Linked DNA regions of Mus musculus: regions 2, 3 and 4 are each reported to be linked to region 1. Evidence: microRNA targets listed by miRTarBase, many of them from high-throughput screens and not tested one by one. Region 1 holds a microRNA gene; each other region holds the end of a gene's coding sequence.

What was found. The annotated mature microRNA mmu-miR-1187 reads UAUGUGUGUGUGUAUGUGUGUAA and lies in region 1 at 2,232-2,254, opposite strand. An mRNA with a match to its seed (bases 2 to 7 or 8) in the 3' UTR can be bound and repressed. Matches are read on the target gene's strand: a 7mer-m8 pairs with bases 2 to 8, a 7mer-A1 pairs with bases 2 to 7 and ends in A, and an 8mer does both.
Region 2: miRTarBase lists Onecut2 as a target of mmu-miR-1187. Seed matches in the 3' UTR shown: 7mer-A1 at 680-686, 7mer-A1 at 2,934-2,940, 8mer at 4,537-4,544, 7mer-A1 at 4,544-4,550 and 7mer-A1 at 4,588-4,594.
Region 3: the mRNA of Sike1 is a reported target of mmu-miR-1187. Seed matches in the 3' UTR shown: 7mer-A1 at 3,966-3,972 and 8mer at 3,926-3,933.
Region 4: the mRNA of Rorb is a reported target of mmu-miR-1187. Seed matches in the 3' UTR shown: 7mer-A1 at 1,614-1,620, 8mer at 2,429-2,436 and 7mer-m8 at 5,049-5,055.

What each region holds. Positions count from the first base shown.
Region 1 is chr5:82,796,733-82,801,809 of GRCm38, forward strand. It overlaps Mir1187 (microRNA 1187), which reads right to left and starts at 2,333; the gene lies at 2,212-2,333.
Region 2 is chr18:64,385,999-64,391,068 of GRCm38, forward strand. Onecut2 (one cut domain, family member 2) reads left to right here. Exons shown (of 2, transcript NM_194268.2): 2 at 347-5,070. The coding sequence ends at 633. Among named protein-coding and RNA genes, the nearest start is that of Onecut2, 48 kb to the left of the region's middle.
Region 3 is chr3:103,001,541-103,006,610 of GRCm38, reverse strand. Sike1 (suppressor of IKBKE 1) reads right to left here. Exons shown (of 5, transcript NM_025679.3): 5 at 2,697-4,903. The coding sequence ends at 4,802. Among named protein-coding and RNA genes, the nearest start is that of Sike1, 8.3 kb to the right of the region's middle.
Region 4 is chr19:18,933,701-18,938,770 of GRCm38, reverse strand. It overlaps Rorb (RAR-related orphan receptor beta), which reads left to right. Exons shown (of 10, transcript NM_001043354.2): 10 at 736-5,070. The coding sequence ends at 891. Among named protein-coding and RNA genes, the nearest start is that of Rorb, 170 kb to the left of the region's middle.

The sequences.
Region 1 (5,077 bases):
CATTAAAAAAAAATTGGCAAGCCAGGCAGTGGTGGCGCATGCCTTTAATCCCAGCACTTGGGAGGCAGAGACAGGAGGATTTCTGGGTTTGAGGCCAGCCTGGTCTACAAAGTGAGTTCCAGGATAGCCAGGGCTATACAAAGAAACCCTGTCTCAAAAAAAAAATGGCAATGTTACTTTTATTTCTTCAGATATATGTGTCCTGTTTGGCATCCTCACTGATGTTAAGAGATGAGTAAGGCTGTCACTCAGGGGATGGATTTCAAGGAGCGGGTACAGAGCATTGTGCTATAAAGCCTTAACAGAAAGTAATAGCACAGGGAAGAACTAATGGATGTAGGGATGGGAAGGTCTGATAAAGGAGGAAATATCAGGAGGGAAAAATAAAACTAAAGACCATTTGAGGATGTAATGTGGAAATCTACCACAGTAGAAACTTCCTAAAATAAATTCATATAAACATATCAGGATATTTACCATATAGTAAATAGTTACCATATAGCACATGTTGGGTTTGGTATATTGCTATGAATACAAACACCAAATTATGAAGATCTGTTCACTAACCAGACAGATAAATTCTTGGGTGCACTGGTCCTGTGTTGTGTAAATGTTGCTCCTCAATTTAAAGCTATTGTTTAATTAAAAGTTAGAGGCTGTGAATGGGCAGAAGAGAGAGGAAGGCATGGCTTGAGTGGAAATTAAGTGAGGGGTCACTAGAGAGACTATGGGTGAGAAAGAGAGGAAGATGGAGAGGGAAGGCTGTGATCCATGGAGCTGGACCATGAGCAAGTGGCCAGGAGAAGTGCATAAATAAAATACCACGTTTCTGTGTCATTTATATGGGCTAGCTAGAATAAATTTTTCATTAACATAGACATATGGAAAACTTCAACAAATGTGTGATGAATGAGCAAAACAAAATTTTTAAGGACAGAATTCACTGATGAAAATCGTCAACATCACGAGGACTGAAAATGTTAAAGTTTAATTGCTCAGTGAAGGAATATTTGAGAGTTGACTCTGATTTTGAAAGCCCTGCTATGAATAAACACTGTTAAGGTTCTTAGGTTGGAGTCAGCACTATCCTAACTCCTGTACAGTCTGAGTTCTCAGAGACCTCTGTAAGAATCAAATAATAATCTTGAAAGAAAGCAAGACAATTGCTTATGCAACATGCTTTGTCCTGGAACAAAAGCCAGGTTCATAGTCAGGCTCATACTCCTCTTGATTTTTATTCTAACAGAGATGATGGCTGTGTTGCTTCCCCATTGGCAGAGGTATCATTTCAGTCTTTCATGATTGATATATTTAAAAGAATAGAAGTAAAACAAAAAGGAGGGGGGCAGGAGAGATGGATGCTTGGTTAAGAACACTGACTGCTTTTCTAGAGGTCCTGAGTTCAATTCCCAGCAACCACATGATGGCTCAAAACCATCTGTAATGGAATCTCTTCTGGTGTGTCTGAAGAGAGCAGAAGTATACACACATAGATAAAATATACAAATTAATCTTAAAAAAAAAGAAGTGAAAAAAATAAGTTGGAAAGCTGGAAGGGGTCAACAGCCTAATCATTTAAGGTCTAATATTAAGCAGGGATCTTATGCAAATAAAGTTTTAACTCAGTGGTGAATTTAGCATTTGTATTGATGGGGAGATGAAAATATTTTAATTCCTTATCAATCTTTTATAGTATCTGAGAAAAAAATGCTAAAATGTGAACTTAATGTTTTTGTACCTCAACTAAAGTGAAGCCAGTATTTTGGTCATAAAAATTAACTTTAAAATAAACCATTATCAAGAAGTGTTGATCTGTGTTGAGGAAATGCTGTAACATAAATTTAAACACAGGCTTGATTAGAAAAAATAATTATTAGGGAAAAAGATTGCACCAATGTCTGAATGTTGACTTCTCGGGAATCAGCTTAATTTTTTTGTAAGAGCCTTATGCTACCATACTGACAACTGAAGGATATCTCAAAGTTTTGCTAATAGAGATTTAAGTGAAATCATAGGGTGATTGCCAGGAATTAAGTACAATTAGAGCTTGCAAAATAAAAGTAAAAAGTAGCCCAGAATAGTTAAGGGAGTTCGGATGTTCTCTTGGTAAATAATCTTACACTCTTCTTTGTGAGATCACCAGAAAATATCAGGAAATGAAAAGTATCACAGTGGAAGGCTACATATGCTCAGATCTTAAGCATGGCTCATTACTATTTTAACATTGTTATTTACACACATACACACACACATATATATATATATGTGTGTGTGTGTGTGTGTAAAAATAAATTGTGTCTATAAGGAAAACAGTTCGGTTTAATACTATATGACAGATACTACACACAAAAGAAAAAAAAAGAAAGAAAGAAAGAAAGAAAGAGGCAGAGAGAGACAGAGAGAGACAGAGAGAGAAATGAAGACCTAGAAATGGACCCACACACCTATGGTCACTTGAACTTCACAAGAGCACTAAAACCATCCAGTGGAAAAAAGACAGCATTTTCAACAAATGGTGCTGGCATAACTGGCAGGTAGCATGTAAAAGAATGCGAATTGATCCATTCTTATCTCCTTGTACAAACCTCAAGTGTAAGTGGATCAAGGAACTCCACCTAACACTGAAACACATAGAGGAGAAAGTGGGGATAAACTTCAAAGATATGGGCACAGGGGGAAAGTTCCTGAACAGAACAGCAATGGCTTGTGCTGTAAGATCGAGAATCAACAAATGGGACCTCATAAAATTGTAAAGCTTCTGTAAGGCAAAAGACACTGCCAATAAGACAAAAAGGCCACCAACAGATTGCGAAAGGATCTTTACCAATCCTAAGTCAGATAGGGGGCTAATATCCAATATATATAAAGAACTGAAGAAAAAGGGCTCCAGAATATCAAATAACCCTATTAAAAATGGGGTACAGAGCTAAACCAAAGAATTCTCAACTAAGGAATACCAAATGGCTGAGAAGCACCTGAAAAAATGTTCAGCATTCTTAAACATCAGGGGAATGCAAATCAAAACATCCCTGAGATGTTACCTCATATCAGTCAGAATGGCTAAGATCAAAAATTCAGGTGACAGCAGATGGTGAGAATGTTGAGAAAGAGGAACACTCCTCCATTGTTTGTGTGATTGCAAGCTGGTACAACCACTCTGGAAATCAGTCTGGTGGTTCCTCAGAAAATTGGACATAGTACTACCAGAAGATCCAGCAATACCTTTCCTGGGCATATACCCAGAAGATGTTCCAACTTGTAATAAGGACACATGGTACACTATGTTCATAGCAGCCTTATTTATAATAGCCAGAAGCTGGAAAGAACCCAGATATCCCTCAACAAAGGAATGGATACAGAAAATGTGGTACATTTACACAATAGAGTACTACTCAGCAATTAAAAACAAAGAATTTATGAAATTCTTAGGCTAATGTATATATCTGGAGGATATCATCCTGAGTGAAGTAACCCAATCTCAAAAGGACACACATGATATGCACTCACTGTTAAGTGGATATTAACTGAGAAACTTAAGACTACCTAAGATAAAATTGGCAAAACACTTGAAACTCAAGGAGAAGGAAGACCAAAGTGTGGATACTTCATTCCTTCTTAGAAGGGGGGAAAATACTCATGGAGGGAGTTACAGAGACAAAGATCAGATCAGAGCCTGAAAACAGGACCATCCAGAGACTGCCCCACCTGGGGATCCATTCCATATACAACCACCAAACCTAGACACTATTGCATATGCCAGCAAGATTTAGCTGACAGGACCCTGATATAGCTATCACTTGCGAGGCTATGCCAGTGCCTGGCAAATACAAAAGTGGATGCTCACAGTCATCTATTGGATGGAACACAGGGGCCTCAATGAAAGAACTAGAGAAAGTACCCAAGGAGCTGAAGAGGCCTGCATCCCTATAGGATAAAAACAATATGAACTAACCAGTACCCCTGAGAGTATATCTGTAGTTGCATATGTAGCAGAGGATGGCCTAGTAGGCCATCAATGGTAGGAGAGGCCCTTGGTCTTGCAAAGATTATATACCCCAGGACAGGAGGAGAGAGAGAGAGAGAGAGAGGTGGGGAGAGGGGGAGAGAGAGAGAGAGAGAGAGAGAGAGAGAGAGAGAGAGAGAGAGAGAGAGAGAGAGAGAGAGAGAGGTGGGGAGAGGGAGAGAGAGAGAGAGAGAGAGAGAGAGAGAGAGAGGTGGGGAGAGGGAGAGAGAGAGAGAGAGAGAGAGAGAGAGAGAGAGAGAGAGAGAGAGAGAGAATATTGACAGTACCTAGTCAAGTTTGACCAAGTATGACTAAGTTTGTATTTTGACTGTCAGCTGGCAAGATAATCCAATTAGATTCCGAAGTTAGGATCTCCTTACCATTATCATATCACAGTAATTTCCCTAGACTTGTTCTTCTTCTTAAGTTAACCTGGGATTCTTTTCTTTATCCAAGCTCCATGTCCTAACTAGTTTTATCTTAGTGGTACAGTATTACTGGAACTCCCCAGCTGTCCATGATAACTGAACTGAGTTTTCTTTGTCCATTTCCAGCTCTTAATAACTACTCGTTTGGAGCTGAGACAAAAGGATGGAACAACTAGAGACTGCCATATCCAGGGATCCATCCCATAATTAGCCTCCAAACGATGACACCATTGCATACACTAGCAAGTGTTTGCTGAAATGACCCTGATATAGTTGTCTCTTGTGAGACTAGGCCGGGGCCTAGCAAACACAGAAGTGGATGCTCACAGTCAGCTATTGGATGGATCACAGGGTCCCCAATGGAGGAGCTAGAGAAAGTATCCAAGGAGCTAAAGAGATCTGCAACCCTATAGGTGGAACAACAATATGAACTAACCAGTAACCCGTAGTTGTTGACTCTAGCTGCATATGTATCAAAAGATGGCCTAGACGGCCATCACTGAAAAGAGAGGCCCTTTGGACACACAAACTTTATATGCCCCAGTACAGGGGAACGCCAGGGCCAAAAAATGGGAACGGGTGGGTAGGGAAGTAGGGGAGAGGGTATGGGGGACTTTTGGGATAGCATTGGAAATGTAACTGAGGA
Region 2 (5,070 bases), not on the chromosome of region 1:
TGCATGGCTTCTTCACCTCTTTCACCACAGCTGACTTCAGAGTTAAGCAGGCACAGAGGGATGGGAGTAAAAGAGAAAGGAAACAAGTTGAGTCAGATCCATACTAGACTATGTGAAGCAGCCATGGCTCTCCTTTCTTCCAATCCCCGCTTGCTAACTGATGTCCTCCATCACCAAGATGAACTGGGTTGGCTTGCTATTGACATGTGGGCAATCCATTCAATAAAGCTGAATAGTTTCCATCCCCTCTATGACTTGGTCCATGTTTTCAATGGCTTGCCTTCCCTGTTGGGTCCTCCCAGTACCACTGACTCCTCTCCCTTTTCTTTTCTTCTTTCCCCTGAAGCATGCAAACGCAAAGAGCAAGAACCAAACAAAGACAGGAACAACTCGCAGAAGAAATCCCGCCTGGTGTTCACGGACCTCCAACGCCGAACACTCTTCGCCATCTTCAAGGAAAATAAGCGCCCTTCGAAGGAGATGCAGATCACCATTTCCCAGCAACTTGGGCTGGAGCTGACCACTGTCAGTAACTTCTTCATGAATGCCCGGCGTCGCAGCCTGGAGAAATGGCAAGATGACCTAGGCACAGGGGGTTCTTCATCCACCTCCAGCACTTGTACCAAAGCATGATGCAAGGACTCTCCACCTGGGCACAAGTCATCTCCAAATGAGGACAACACATACCAAAAACCAAAACCAAAAACCAAAACCAAAACCAAAACCAAAACCAAAACCAAAAAAAAAAAAAAAAAAAAATCACAAAGACATCAGATTCTTAGCTGGGGCCCTTCACTGGTGACTTGAAAGCACAATTCTCTTGAAACTTCTAATCTAGCTGTAATCATAGGCCAGGTGTCCATTTTCTTTTGTTTCATTTTAAATGGCTACAGAGTCCAAGTACACGCTGAAAGTTAATCTCTTTGAACCAGACACTATCCTCTGAGTATGCTAAGCATCCCAGAGACCCAAATGGGGCCTTCTTGGAGTGAGTTAATCACAGCACAATGTCAACCAAGTTCAGTGCAGCTGTAAGCATCAATAGCCCTATTCAGGCCCTGTCAACCTCTTGCTAACACTAGTTTCCTGCAAGTCATAGTGGATATTTGGCCTGAGTATAGACACAGGATTCCAAAACACTACAGAAGAATTTAACAAGAAAGGCCTCATTTGCTCCCCAAGTGCTTAGCCTCTTTATATCACAGTACATTAAAAATTCTCAGCCATAACATTACAAAAAAAAATCAGAATGGTAATTACTGAGCACAAGTTTTAAATATGGAAATCAATAAAAAAAATCCAAGGACATGTTTTTCCAACTCAGGCATCTTTTCATTGGATAGTTTAGAAAACTTTGATTTCAGTTTACGATTTTTCTTTTCTTTACCTCCTGGAAATCTCATGTGGTCTTCTGGATCCGTCAAAAAAAAGTCAATTCACTTGAGCTCAAAGTATCAAGCACAACGAAGATATACAGAAATAAGGAAGGCTCTGGTTTCAACGCATCCAGTTTGACAAGGCCGTTTACATCAGTCTTTACTGTTGTGAAGTCATTAGGGAATTATTGGGAATATGGCTTCAAGCACATTTTGCAGGTTGTTACAAACTCTGTTTGTACATTGCGCAGATGCACACTCAGGAGGCCAATTTAACTGCTACAGTACAGGAGCAAATGCATCATTTAAGAAGATCTAGATTTTTTTAGATCATTACTGTGCCCTTGATTTACAAGTCACCCAGGTCCTCCTATGTGCATTACAAGTGTGGTTTGTTCTTGTTCTTGCTGATCCGTGTTGTTCCCTATCGCATCCCATTAGTTGGGATGTCTCTATTGTTTTCTACAAAGAAACAGTTTAATAAGCCACTTCCTGTCGTCTCTTCCTAACTCTCTTCCATTGCTGATTCATCCTTATAATACAGCTGACAGAACCTGGAGAGAACACAGCACACCAAAGAAGCAGAATACTGCAAACCAAAGACATTTGTTACCTGCCATTTTCTAGCCTACAAATACTGTGATTACTTTTAGAGATCAGAGCACCTCTGTAACTCCGAGTGGCATTCGGCTCTTGTCTTGGGCTCACCACCTGGCTGAGCAGACCAGCTACATCAATGACATTAGCCAAATATCCGGGCAGTGACTTCGCCACGCCAGCCCTGGTTGGTCACCTTCCCATAGCAAGTGAAAGAGGGCCCACAGAACTCTGGGAGATTACAAAGGTCACTATGTGCATATTTACCAGTGAATGGCCCCAGGTGGGCACCAAGGGGTGTTCGGAGCAAGCCAAAAGCTTCGATGACTCTTTACAGACACTTGAGACTGACTTTTGTATGAATTGCTTAATTGAAACCAAAGAAACTTTTTTTCTGCACCTACTTCTGCAACAAACAGAACTGTCCCATTGAATGAGTAAATGGTTCCACCAATCACTGGAAATCACCATCAACAGAAAAAGCACGCTAGAATGAAAGAAACAACAAAACCACCGAAGACACACTGTGTTCAAACAGACCTTTTGGGACGCTCTTATTTTTTATTTTTTTATTTTTTGGAAGCAGATTTGAAAGAAAGGGTTGAGACACAAATCAACAGACGAGCCTCAATGGCTGCTGCTTCATATGACAACTCACTCGGTAATCTTAACGTTGAAGATTGTCTTTAATTTGTGCCTATGCAGTTTTTCAAAAGAACATGGAAACAGAGCAACAGAAACCTCAACAGCTACAATACCAAAGATGAGGATTCTCACACCTTTTTGTCTCAGTTCATTACCTTCTTTTGCCTGGCTAAAATACTTATAGCGTCATTGATCTGTACAAAGGTAATCGATTTTGTTTCTTTAAGCAACAAAAGGAAAGGGTCATTTGTTTGATTTTATTGTTTCCCTTTAGTTTTGTTTTATGGCTTTTACCCAACATGGAATCTCCCCCCTACACATAAAGTTCCATGGACTCCAAACTTGAGATGTCGGGATACTGAAAGGTGTCCCTTTCTCTCCTCAGCAGAGCATGGGAAATACGATTGTCGCTTGAATGTCTGTGGCTTAACCCTTAGACTTGGTTGCTTCTGTGTTCAGTGTTGTCATTAGGGGAGGGAAGGGGAGCAAGGATCAGGGGTAGGAGTCTAGGTGATCCGCCCTTTCCAGAACCAAAGAATTTATAGAGAAATTTACAACCTCATCTTCATGTGATTGCCACATGTTAACAGGGCTTCATTTGGGGGTGGGGAAACATGTAAAAAGAATCGCCAGTTTCTACTTTTCTATTAGCTTTTTAAAAAAAAAAGATCAGCTGTAAAGTTGCATTTCTAAAGAAAGATATATAGATATATATATATTAAATGTACGAGTACACGTATAGATTAACCCGCATTGGTGACAACCCAAAATTTTTGTTGTCCAACTATTTGTTTTCTCGTATGCACCATTTGTTAAGCATTCATTTCACAACTGTGCTCATTTCTCATGCCATTCCAGAGTTAAATAGCCACTGTGGTTGTCTGGCAGTATTCATAGTTCTATGTAAGTTTATGGTAAAAGTTGAAAGTCCATTTAAGCATTTCTACATGTAACCTGTTGATGAATGGATTCATGATGTAAGTGGGTTTTATTTGTAGTCATCTCTATCCTATGCCTCAACCATGATAAGCAAGGTTTATCCATCAGACTAGCTCAGAGCTGTGCTGCTGGCAGTAGGGAACTTACCATCTATCATCATTGGGAAGGCTTGGTGATTCATTCCCATCTGTTGTGGAGCAAAACACCAGAAATCCATTTTCCAGTAGATACCATTATCCACCAGAGTATTCTAGATTCCTCTCAGTGAGTAGATCCAACCGAGGCTTCTCCTGGGGAAATCCAACTTCTATTGCAATAGGTCGATCAGGTCTCCTCGAGGTAGTAATTACCAGTTTGCACTGACAAGCTTGAGTGCAACCATAGCTGGCACTGGGGTCGATCGGGATTGTTGAAGGGAGGTATCTCAGTCCTGGAGAAAAGGCATTCAGTAGACTGTGAGGAGAGTTCCAGATTCCTGTCCCTGGAGAGCCGCATCCTCTGCCTTGCCTCTTTATTCACCCAATGTGGGCAGTTCTGTGGTGGGCACATCATATCTAGAGCTGAGAGAATAGGACCCTGTGTTATTTTTCTAATTTGTCCTATCTAGGGAGTGCTCCTTTCACTTTCCCCTTGTTCCTTGCTTATAATCCATGAACTTATGGTCAAATGACCAAGAAAAAGCGTATTTCCTCAGAGGCTTGCTCCCATTTCAGCTGGGTCAGATGAATATTAACTTGGATCTTACTAAATGAGTCTTTGTGACTTGTGGACAATGGAATGGGTGGTTCTGCTTGAGTACAGACTGCAGAACAAAGCATCTTGCTTTGGTTAGTGACTGACACTAATTAGCAGCATTTGAGGCTTTGCATCCTTGGAAGATGATGGCATGAAGGAAAAAGGCAAGAAATCCCCTCTAGGAACTCTTGATAAATGTCTTTTCTATCTCAGAGAATACTTGTGTTCAAAAGTTGCTTATACACACACATACACATATAATGTGTATACACATTATATGTGTATGTGCATCTGTACACATATGTATCCAAATTTCAGGTCATACAAAGTATCGTTTTGCTAGGTAGCTGAAAGAAAAAGTAGTATACTGAAAGGTTATAGAATTTAATCCACTGTCTTTTCTCAAAGCCTTTAAATTTTTTATTTTAAATAACAGTCTCAGAGAAAATAACCATTTGGACTTGAATATAGCCTACAGTCTACATTCTTAATCCAAAAAAAGTTCCAGGCTTCTGCCACCATCACCAACAGTGGGATGCTGGGAAAGAATAGTTCACAAGCAAATTTTATCTTCATAGGGTGACAGAAACCCAAAGAATATTGAGTGAAAGATATATTTTTCCTTAAGCCTTCTTATAACTAAGCTCTATTTTTGTTTCCCATGTGATTTTAATGATTCTAAGATTCAATTCCCTCATTCTTAGAATTCTTTTAAAGGACAGCTAATATATTAAAAGTACAATGACAACAATAAAATTGAATTCCAGTATTTAAAAGA
Region 3 (5,070 bases), not on the chromosome of region 1:
AGAAAGTGCTTCTGTTGAGAAGTGTGGACCCTTGGGCCCCTGGGGTAAATAAAAGCAGGATTTTAAAAAAATGAGCACCACTGCCTTCACCGTAGACCAGGCTAGAACTCAGAGATCGGTGGGCCTCTGCCTCTCTCCTGCTGGGATTAAAGCATGCCTTTTTGTTTGTTTGTTTTTGAGGCAGGGTCTCACTATATGACCCTAACTGTTCTGGGACTCAATATGTAGATCAGGCTCATCTCTGAACTCATAGAAATCTATCTGCTGCTAACTCCAGCCAGAGTGCTGGGATTAAAAGTGGGCTAAGTGGCCTGCCTAGTACTGGTAATATTTGGGTTTTGCTTTTGTGGTGCCTGAGGTTTGAGCCAGGGCTTTGTGTATGCTAGGCAGGTGTTTTCCCCACACTGGTAATAACTGAGTTCTTAAATTAGGTAATGAATGCATGATAATGTGCCTGCATTGCCATCTTATCCCTTTTTTTTGGGGGGGGGGTTGTTTTGTTTTATTTGGTTTTTTTGAGACAGGGTTTCTCTGTGTATCCCTGGCTGTTCTGGAACTCACTCTGTAGACCAGGCTGGCCTCGACTCAGAAATCCGCCTGCCTCTACCTCCTGAGTGCTGGGATTAAAGGCGTGTGCCACCACACCCAGCGCATCTTATCCTTTTATAAATGCCCAATATTACATAAAAATTTAAGTGCAAAAATAAGCACTGATAACATTTATATGTGCATGGTTGTTTAGAAATTTGTTCCTGATCAGATTTCTTAGATATAGGCAACTCAGGCTAATTTCAACAAAAATGGTTTTATTAATTTCATTAAAAATATTTCTCAGGATCTCTTGGGCAGCCAGGAAATGAGACTTAAGAGGTTTGCGTCTAATGCTATAAGGATGTTTGCAGCAAGTCTCCAGTCTCCACTGCATACACTGGGTCTTCCACAGCTGCCTGCTAGCACTCCAGACCTGCTCTGCTGCTCTTCTATGGAGCCAAACCCAGCAGCAGCCTGTGTTGCTGGTCCCCAGGTTCAGAGGTTTCTGTGTGGCTCCCAGCTTTGCCATATCACTAACTTTGAAATTCAAAGCAGCTGAATCTTTCCTCGATGCCAAGGTGGCTGGGAAACTGGGTAACTGGTACTTCCAGATTCTTTAGGAAAGAGGGAGGCTCTGCCACGTTAGGCAGGGAAACTTTACCCAGGCATGGGTAGGACATTGAGCAGTCAGTAAAGAAATAACAGTGTCCACTACAGCTCATTTTCTTAGTGACTCAACGTAGGCATCCCTGCAGCTAATAATTTTAATTTGTTAAAAATTATATTTACGGTAAAATGCCTTACTGTAACAATCAGGCCTTACTGTTTTCTCAGTATGATTTCTCTTTGCTAAGAGGATACTGATTTTATTTGGCACGGCTGTGTACCTAGCTTCCTTTGCAATTAGACATGTCTATTTAATAAGTGAGGCAGATATGGAGAGAACTCCATTAGAATTTCTGGAAACGTTTGCTTTCCCCATGTGTCTGTAGTGTAGGGCAGGCAGTTTTCTATTTTTTCCCTGTCTTCCACATGGGCATGACATCTGACACAGCAGTAGCCTATAACAAGATAACAGCATCACAGACGGAGCCAACGTGGAAAAAGGCACCCTGTGCAGAAATGCACCCTTCCCTCCACACTGAGGACCACTCACAGGCACAGCATTCTAGGGACCATGCAGCAGCGTGAACTAAACAGAAGTCACGGTATTCACAACACACAGGCCATAGTGTCTCTCTTACCCTGTTAATTAACCTGTTGACTGACTTTGCCGATCAAGATCCATGAACTCCACAGTTATGTGCATTTAAAGGTGCCTTAACTTGGTCCTTAAGAAATGTGCTGAAGAGTGCCTGAGTGTGATTCTTGGCTCCACTTTGGACAAATTAGAACCTTCTAGTATGTATGGAACTGTAAAGAACTGAAGCGGGGATGCTGTGTCAGCTGACACAGAAAACCCCTTAGTATAAGGAAGTAACCATTGCAGGACCCCCTGGACTTCGATTCTGCAGCTGTTTTCTATGTTTTCTCCTAGCACCACCCCTCCCCCACCCCCTTCCCTGGTCAACTTTTAGATTCTCAAATAACACAGCCCTTTCTGTGCTGTATCCTACACTTACATCTGATGTAACACACTGCATCAAAATTATCTGCACAACATTTTGTTTAGTTTTTTGAGACAGGGTCTCTTGTAGCCCAGGCTGGTTTTGAATTTACTATGTAGCCAAGAATGACCTTGGATTTCTGCTCTTCCTGCTTCTGCTCCAAATTCTGGGATTACAGGCATGTGCCACCATGCCCAATTTATCTGCTGCTATCGGGCAGGCAGCATAGAGGGGAATAGCGCTGCTATATCCCACCCCTCTGTAATATCCCTTTACCACTCTTCTCATTTTAAAGTCGGTTTGTTTTTAACTCCTAGTGAAATAATTTGCACAGAACATCATACACAATTTATCTGTTTGTGTGTTGTAGGTCAGAAGGTAATTTTTAGAAGTTGGTTCTCTCCTTCCCTCATGTGGGTTCTGAGGAATTGAACTCAGGCCATCTGACTTCATGGTAAGCACTTAGACCTGCTGAGCCATCTCCTAGCCCTAACAGACATGTTCTTAAACCGGTACTGCCGTTTTCTGGAATGATTATTAAGATGTAAATTCCAGATTCCATCCATAAATTTCTATTTCATTAGGTGCATTTTAAGAAACATGGAAATAGACTTCAGTGGTAAATTATACATTCAGGACTTCTGCAATGAATAGGTTGTTAATGTGCTTTTCAAAGGTTTATACTGCTGAATATATTGAATAATTGCAAGCTGCTTATGACATCTATGTCATGAACACTTGCCATGGTTGCTATGTATGTGAATATGTGAAAAAAATCTCCTATACTTCTTTTTGCTTTTTTCAAGACAGGGTCTCCCTGTGTAGTCTCCTGGGACTCACTAGGTAAACCTGCATGTCCTCGAATTCAAGAGATGTGCCTCTGCCTTCCAAGTGCTGGGATTGCAGGTGTACATCGCCACTGCTCAGCTAAACTTCCTTTTTTTTTCCAGCTCAACTTCTTAGACTCATTTCTCAGTAAAATGAGCAAATCTTCTCAAAAAGGTTTTTATTAGTTAATATAATTTCATACTAAAATTTTATACACTAAATACTTCCACCCATTGCAAGAGATATTAGCATCTTCACACAAGTGTGAAACATTCTTTCTCCATTCAATGTGCTAGCTCTGCAATGCCTTCACAGCACTAACACCAGGCAGAATTTATACGACACAGGGCACCGAAAGCTTGCTCTACCCTCAGGACTGCAATGGAGAGATTCCTCTGAAAGCTAGATGCAAAGACCTTTGTAGTGAGTGCTACGGGAACAGAAGGCAGATAAAGAAAGGGACACCATGCTCACTGCTGAAATAGACTGACTGATAATGCTCTCACTGTGATGGGACCTGCTGTGACAGCTGACAAGTGGTAAAGGAACCCACCCCTGAATGGGTTTGTGGAGTACACACTTGGGGCCCTTAGGGGAAACATCAAGGGGAGCAGCTGGAGTGAAAGTTAACATGGGAACAAAAACCAAAGTCCATCTGGGCAAACAGTGCAAAAGGAATTATTTATAAACCTGACATATGAGCAAACCAAGATGAGAAGGAACTGACAGGGAGCTATTAGAATCTCAGGTTGTTCTTGATTGCCTGAATGCATGGCATCAGGAATGTGGTAACTTTCTGTGAGTAATAAAATGCTTCCATGAGAAAACCCAGCAGATGGAAAGACAGCAAAGTACTGATGCCGGTCTAAACCATCCCAGTGGTGCTGCTCTGCACAGCACAGCACAGCACAGCTGTGTGTCCATGAAAGTGCCTAGGAGCTAGGAACCTGTGAGTGAGGTATGTGTGTGTGTGTGTGTGTGTGTGTGTGTGTGTGTGTGTATGTGTATGTCTCATACAAGGCAACTACCTAAGCCGAAGACTCCTTAGGCAGACAGAATGGAAAACTACTTGGTCAAATAAATAAAAGCTATTTTTGGCATTTAAGTCCAATGTACATGTACAGTCATGTACATCTAATAGCTCCCTGTGCATGATGGGGCAGGCCCAAGTTCCTCAGCACTCTCTGAATGACTGTGGATCCTTGAGGAGGAGGAGGAGCAACGCGAACCCGGCTTACTTGTTTTCAAGCGTATTTCCTGGGGACTAATAGATTCTCTCAAATTAAGAGCAAAGACACCTGACCACAAAGTGCCAACTCCTAGCACCGGAGAGGATCAAACCCCATGGATGAGCGACGTCACTCAGAGACTCTGCCAATCTGCTTCTTTGAAGTCATGCTACTTTTACAAGTGGAAGAAAAAAAAAATCTAGGTTTACACCAAATATGTATTTTTAAAAAGTTAAATCTTTGAAAAACTCTTAGAAGGAATTTTTATAATCCTATATAAAATAAAATCCTGGCTTATAATAAAAGTGTTCAGTGTTTCCAAGCTGTGAAAAACAACATTGAACTGCAGGTAACAGTTTATAGAGATTCCGGACTAGAGTGACAAATGTCATCTCTGTCCCAGCAATGGGGGACTTGTCTAGTTTCACTAGTACACCCCAAACTAGTTAGTGGACAATGAATACCAAGTGGCAATTCTAAACTGCCACCCCATACCTCTACCCAACACTAAGTCAAGTCTGCGGCAGGACTCTTGGACACGGCAGGAGAGGAGGGCACGGCTTCTCGCTCTGACGGGCAAGCTGTAGCCAGCCTTCGGAAGTCCAGTTACTTGATGGTCTGAGAGGCAGGAGCCACAGAGCTTTCTTTTCCAACCTGCAGAGATTCACTGCTGATGGACAGTAACTCTCGAAGTTCCTTATTTTCAAGCTGGGGAGAAAAGATATTTCCTGTGTTTTAATTGTTAAACTATGTCAGAACATACTATTTTGGCCCAGAAAGAGGAAAAAAAAATTTTTTTTTGGCTTTTCTTTTTTAAGATTTATTTATTATTATACATAAGTACACTGTAGCTGTCTTCAGATGTGCCAGAAGAG
Region 4 (5,070 bases), not on the chromosome of region 1:
CATGCCTACTGCCCTCTCTCTTTCCCCTGCTCCTCTCTCCCTGGCTCCCATGCCTCCCACATCCCATCCATCCCACAGGTAGTCTCTTTTGCCTTAGTGTCATGAGCTCTTAGAACTTGCTGTTACTTTCCTAATATTACCATCCTCCAAAGGTTTAAAAACAACAAAAAACCCTAATATTCATGTCCTGGAAGTCTGCAGGAAATGAAGGATAATATGACTATTAGCTAACAATTATGTTTCATAGCTGCAGATTTCTGAACACATTCATATCAATTACTCAGTCCACATAACTCAAAGAGAGAGCTAGGATTAACAAGCCCATTTTACAAATGAAAAGACTGAGACAGTGCCTTGAATCACACTGTCACACTGTCTTTGACTCTTAGGAAGCAGGATTCTGTTCATAGTACTTGCCTGCTTAGCACCCACTCACCAGCATGAAACAAGAATGCCTCCTTTGCATATTTTATTTCAGAATAATGAACCAGGAGTCTTAGACCTCCTGGCTTGCTTGCTTTCTCTTCTCTGTTTTTTTTTTTTTTTCTTACCATGGGCTGAGAAATATGTTTTTGTTTTCTTTTCAAGGGAAGCTGAAAGTGAGCCTTCATTCTCTCTGAACATCTTTTTCCAAAGCCATTTACCTTTATCTGGGTCCCCAAAAAGACACTAATTCACAAGACAGTCCACTAACGAGCTTCCCTCTTTGTCTCCCTCTGTCTCTGTGTTCTGCAGTTAATAGCCAAGATACCAACTATCACGGCAGTCTGCAACTTGCATGGGGAGAAGCTGCAGGTATTTAAGCAGTCTCATCCAGACATAGTGAATACACTGTTTCCTCCATTGTACAAGGAGCTCTTTAATCCTGACTGTGCTGCGGTCTGCAAATGAAGGGGACGAGAACTCTCAGAGTCATGGAATGCATCGCCGTTAAGACAAAAGCAATGTGTTCATGGGGACTTAAGGAAAATGTCACTACTGCAACATTAGGAATGTCCTGCACTTAATAGAAATATTTTTCACCGCTACAGTTTGAAGAATGTAAATATGCACCTGAGTGGGGCTCTTTTGTTTGTTCGTTTGTTGTTTGTTTGTTTTTGAAATGATCATAAATATACAAATATAGGACACTGGGTGTTATCTTTTTTAATTTTATTCGGGTATGTTTTGGAGACAACTGTTTATAGAATTTTATTGTAGATATATACACAAACAGAGCCGTACTTTCCATGATTACTCTTCCCGTTGATTGATTGTTCGACTCTAATTTAAGACGATTCCACTTACTAGGCTTTACCTATTTCTATGTTTTTAGGTAGTTGATGCATGTGCAAATTCGTAACTAACTGTCTTGGAAAGTACTGTGCATGTATGTAATGAGTATATAATATGTAAGAGTATTATATATGACTATTACGTATTCATGCACTGTGGCTTAAAATACCATGCCCACTAGCAATGGAGGTTCAGTCAGGCTTTCATGTGATTTGCTGTTGTTATATGTTACTTTTATGTTAGACAATCAGGGTTTTCATTTCCAGCCAGAGTTTTTATCCATCCATAACAACATGATAGGACCCATGCAAAAGGAAATCTACAAAAGAATCGGGGTAACACATAATTGTTCTTTTAAAAGCTCCATTTCTATCAATTACTTCAAAGCCCCATCAAGATGGCACATACCGGGAAGAGGGGAAGCCAAAAGGATTTGAAGCCACTTTCCTGTTTTATAGACCAGATAATGATATTGTCTATTTATTACCATATTACAAAATATTGAGGTTCCTCCACATTGGATTTGGAATCCAATTCTGAATGAAACTTCACTTTGGTGGTTATAATTTCTTCAAGACAACAAAAAATTCAGTCTATAGATTATCACCACCATCAACGTTTTTAGAAATATTTGACTAGAAGTATAAAACAAGTTCCTTGTACCCATTTTGTGTAGATATTTTCTAACCATTTTCCCAACAAAAAAAGAGAAATAGAGCATACAAAGTTAAGAAGTAAATTCACTAAATTATACTCATGGTAATTTGTTAGAAATGAGAAAATAGGCGGGAGCCTGTTTTTTCAACTTCAAAATGCTATATTATAAAATATAGAAAAAATTCAGATTAGAAAACAGTAAATCTTTTGTCTATGGGACTAATATATCCCAATGCCAAAATTCTATCCTACACAGTTATAAATGACATCCTCTATTCAAACTGGTTATTTTTTAGCCACTAAAATGTATAGAATGGAACGGCAACCTATACAGGTTCTTCACCTACTTTCCTACAAAATTAAGCACCAGAAAGGCATGAGTTAGAAGCTATTTGTTCTCTCTGTTCCTGGAAGGCCTAGGTCTTTAGTATGAACTAGTCTAAGCCACACACACGCACGAACATGCACACAGATGACACAGCCACCCACAGACACACACACATACACACACACACACACACACACACACACACACACACCGCTTTGTAGAAACTTGGGTCTTTTGGTTTGGGTTTCTGGGTTTGTTTGTTTGTTTTTTCTTTTCTTTTCTTTTCTTTTCTTTTCTTTTCTTTTCTTTTTTTTTTTTTTTTTTTTTTTTTTTTTTTTTTTTTTTTTTTTTTTGAGTCATTTTTAGTCCCTTATGCTCTCTCAAAGTTCTGGATTGAGAGTCATCTTCAGGATGCCTCAGAACTCCAGTGGATGATCAGAGCACAGTAGTGTTAGTCTTGCCTTTCAGAAAACAGGGGCCTTTCTCACCTCATGATTGATGAATTCCAAGCCATTGGGGGAAAACAAAAAGACTTTAAAATAATGAATCTCTTTTTCAACCACTGTTATATTCAATTAATTTAACTACATTGAACCAAATTACCTTTGGTTCTGAGAAGACAGCTGTAGACTGCTTATTATGCTGCTACAGGGACTCAGTTCTTTTTGGTGTAAATGTCACTCCTGCTAGCTCTTTGTATAAAGAATTAATTCCAAGAGTCATATTTCCTTCTAATGGAAAGATTACTTTACTGATTGCTAGGAAAACAGGGTAATGGAAGGCACTCAATTAAACCAAGCCGTTTCCAAATGCGATATATGTTTTATGATTGGCTTGTGATAGGAAATGCTTACTGTGTCTACTTGATGTTCCCCTTTGAGCTTTGAACTCATGTCAAACTTTGTTTTCATTGTTCTGTTGGCCCAGTGTTTCCCATTGTCAGCCTGAAGATCCCACTGGGCTGCAAAGGGGAATCATTTGTTGTCTTCAGTTTACCTTGGAGGATTTACATCAGCTCAATTGATGAAGTAGCTAAGAATTTTTTTCCTCCCTTGCCCCATGGGTGGTGTAGGAAAGAGATTGTTCCCCACATTTGCCTCAGGAGATACTGGTTTTGAAATTGTGTCATTTCCACTAGCCCTAGCCTTTCATTGGGATGGCATGAACCTTTTGAAGCAGAGGGACAGGAAACAGAGCTAGGAACTGAACCAGAACCAAACAGTGGTAACTAGGACCGGCTCAGCCCACTTTCCACCCAGAGGAGAGAGCTCCAGTTTTGGCTTCAGTTGCCGAGTTTTCCCTTTAAAGAGAAGTCATGTTTTTAACGGTAAGGAAGCCTTTAAACACTGCCCTTTGAACATCTCAGTTGACTACATGAAATTTCAGTAAAAAACAAAAACAAAACCAAACAACAACAAAAACTCTCTTTACCACACACAGTCTCAGCAAGCTGTTCCTTTTCCTGAGAATGGGCCAATGTTCAGAATGTGCTAGGATGAGGTGAACATTGGAAGAAGGAACTGGGCTCTGAAGTCTCCTTTAAACCTCAAGGATGACAATCACTGCTTGATGCAGATGTTGCACTGAATCTGCTCAGGGATGCTTCATTTAAAAAAAAAAAAAGTGCGTCGAGAAGGGGGAGGGGCAAAACAGGAAACTGAAAACAAAATGTAAATGCCATAAATTGAACAGGTCAGCGAGAGACCCTCCCTGACAGGCTTCAGAGAGGCCACAGTGGCTTAAGGCAGAAAATTGAATGAACTTCTTTTTCTTCTTTGAACCTGCCTAGAAGTTCTACCCAAGTAGAGACATTAGTTCCCTTCTCTAGAATGAGCAAGGAACAAGATAACAAGACTGCCCCCCCCCCCCCACATATCTCCCAATTAATCCAGGCTTCCTGTGTAAATCCTTAGCAAAGGAAATACAGGGTCTGATCTAAGGGTCAGAGGTCAGAGCTGATAGGCAATTGAGCAAAACAAACGCTGTGCCTCTGTACTCTGTAGAAAGAAAGACAAATCTTGAATAAAAATGAATAATTTCAAATCTTGGTTGGCAGTTACAAATGGCCACATTGTCTGTGAATTGGTCTATCTTTGTGGAACATTTTTCTGGGGCTCTTTTTTTTTCCTGATAGTACATTGAGGGTCAGGATAGACTTTCCAAACACACTCTGCATTTTCTTTGTTTTATTTCTTTCTTCAAGGCTCTGGGCTAAAAGACCTCCAAGTAAAAAAGCAGAGAATACTGTGGTCTTAGGCGATTAGATTCCCCTGGCAGCAGCTGGAAGACTCTGCATTGTACCCAACTGAGTATTAATGGTAGGCATCAGGGGCCATCAGTGCATTTATATCATGGCTGCCTTATCAATCAAGCAGGTTACATCCCAGCAGACAAGCTGAGCTATTTGTAGAAAGCCTTGCAGATGGATGGCCAACTCTTACTGCCTCTTCATAGTACTATGTGTAAGGGGGCTCAAATTCTAAAATCCAATACATGGGTCCTAAGGACAACCAAAAATTTTACTTGCCTCTCCCCCATAAACACCAGAAATGAGTAATGACGGTGTAAGTCCACATCCTGTTTATTCCACAAACAGGAAATTTTTGAGTGCTGGCAAATCATTTTTCCTGGCTTTTGTTTGGTTGGTTTTTTTTTTTTTATTTTAGGGGGTTTTTCTTGCCCATATTCACTTTTGTTTCTAATAAAATTACCACAAAGGGCAGTAGGTTCAGGCAAGAATGTCTCTACTCTGACAAACACCATTCTGTAGTTAGCAGTAGTTCCTAAGCACACATCTGAAGGGAAACTTC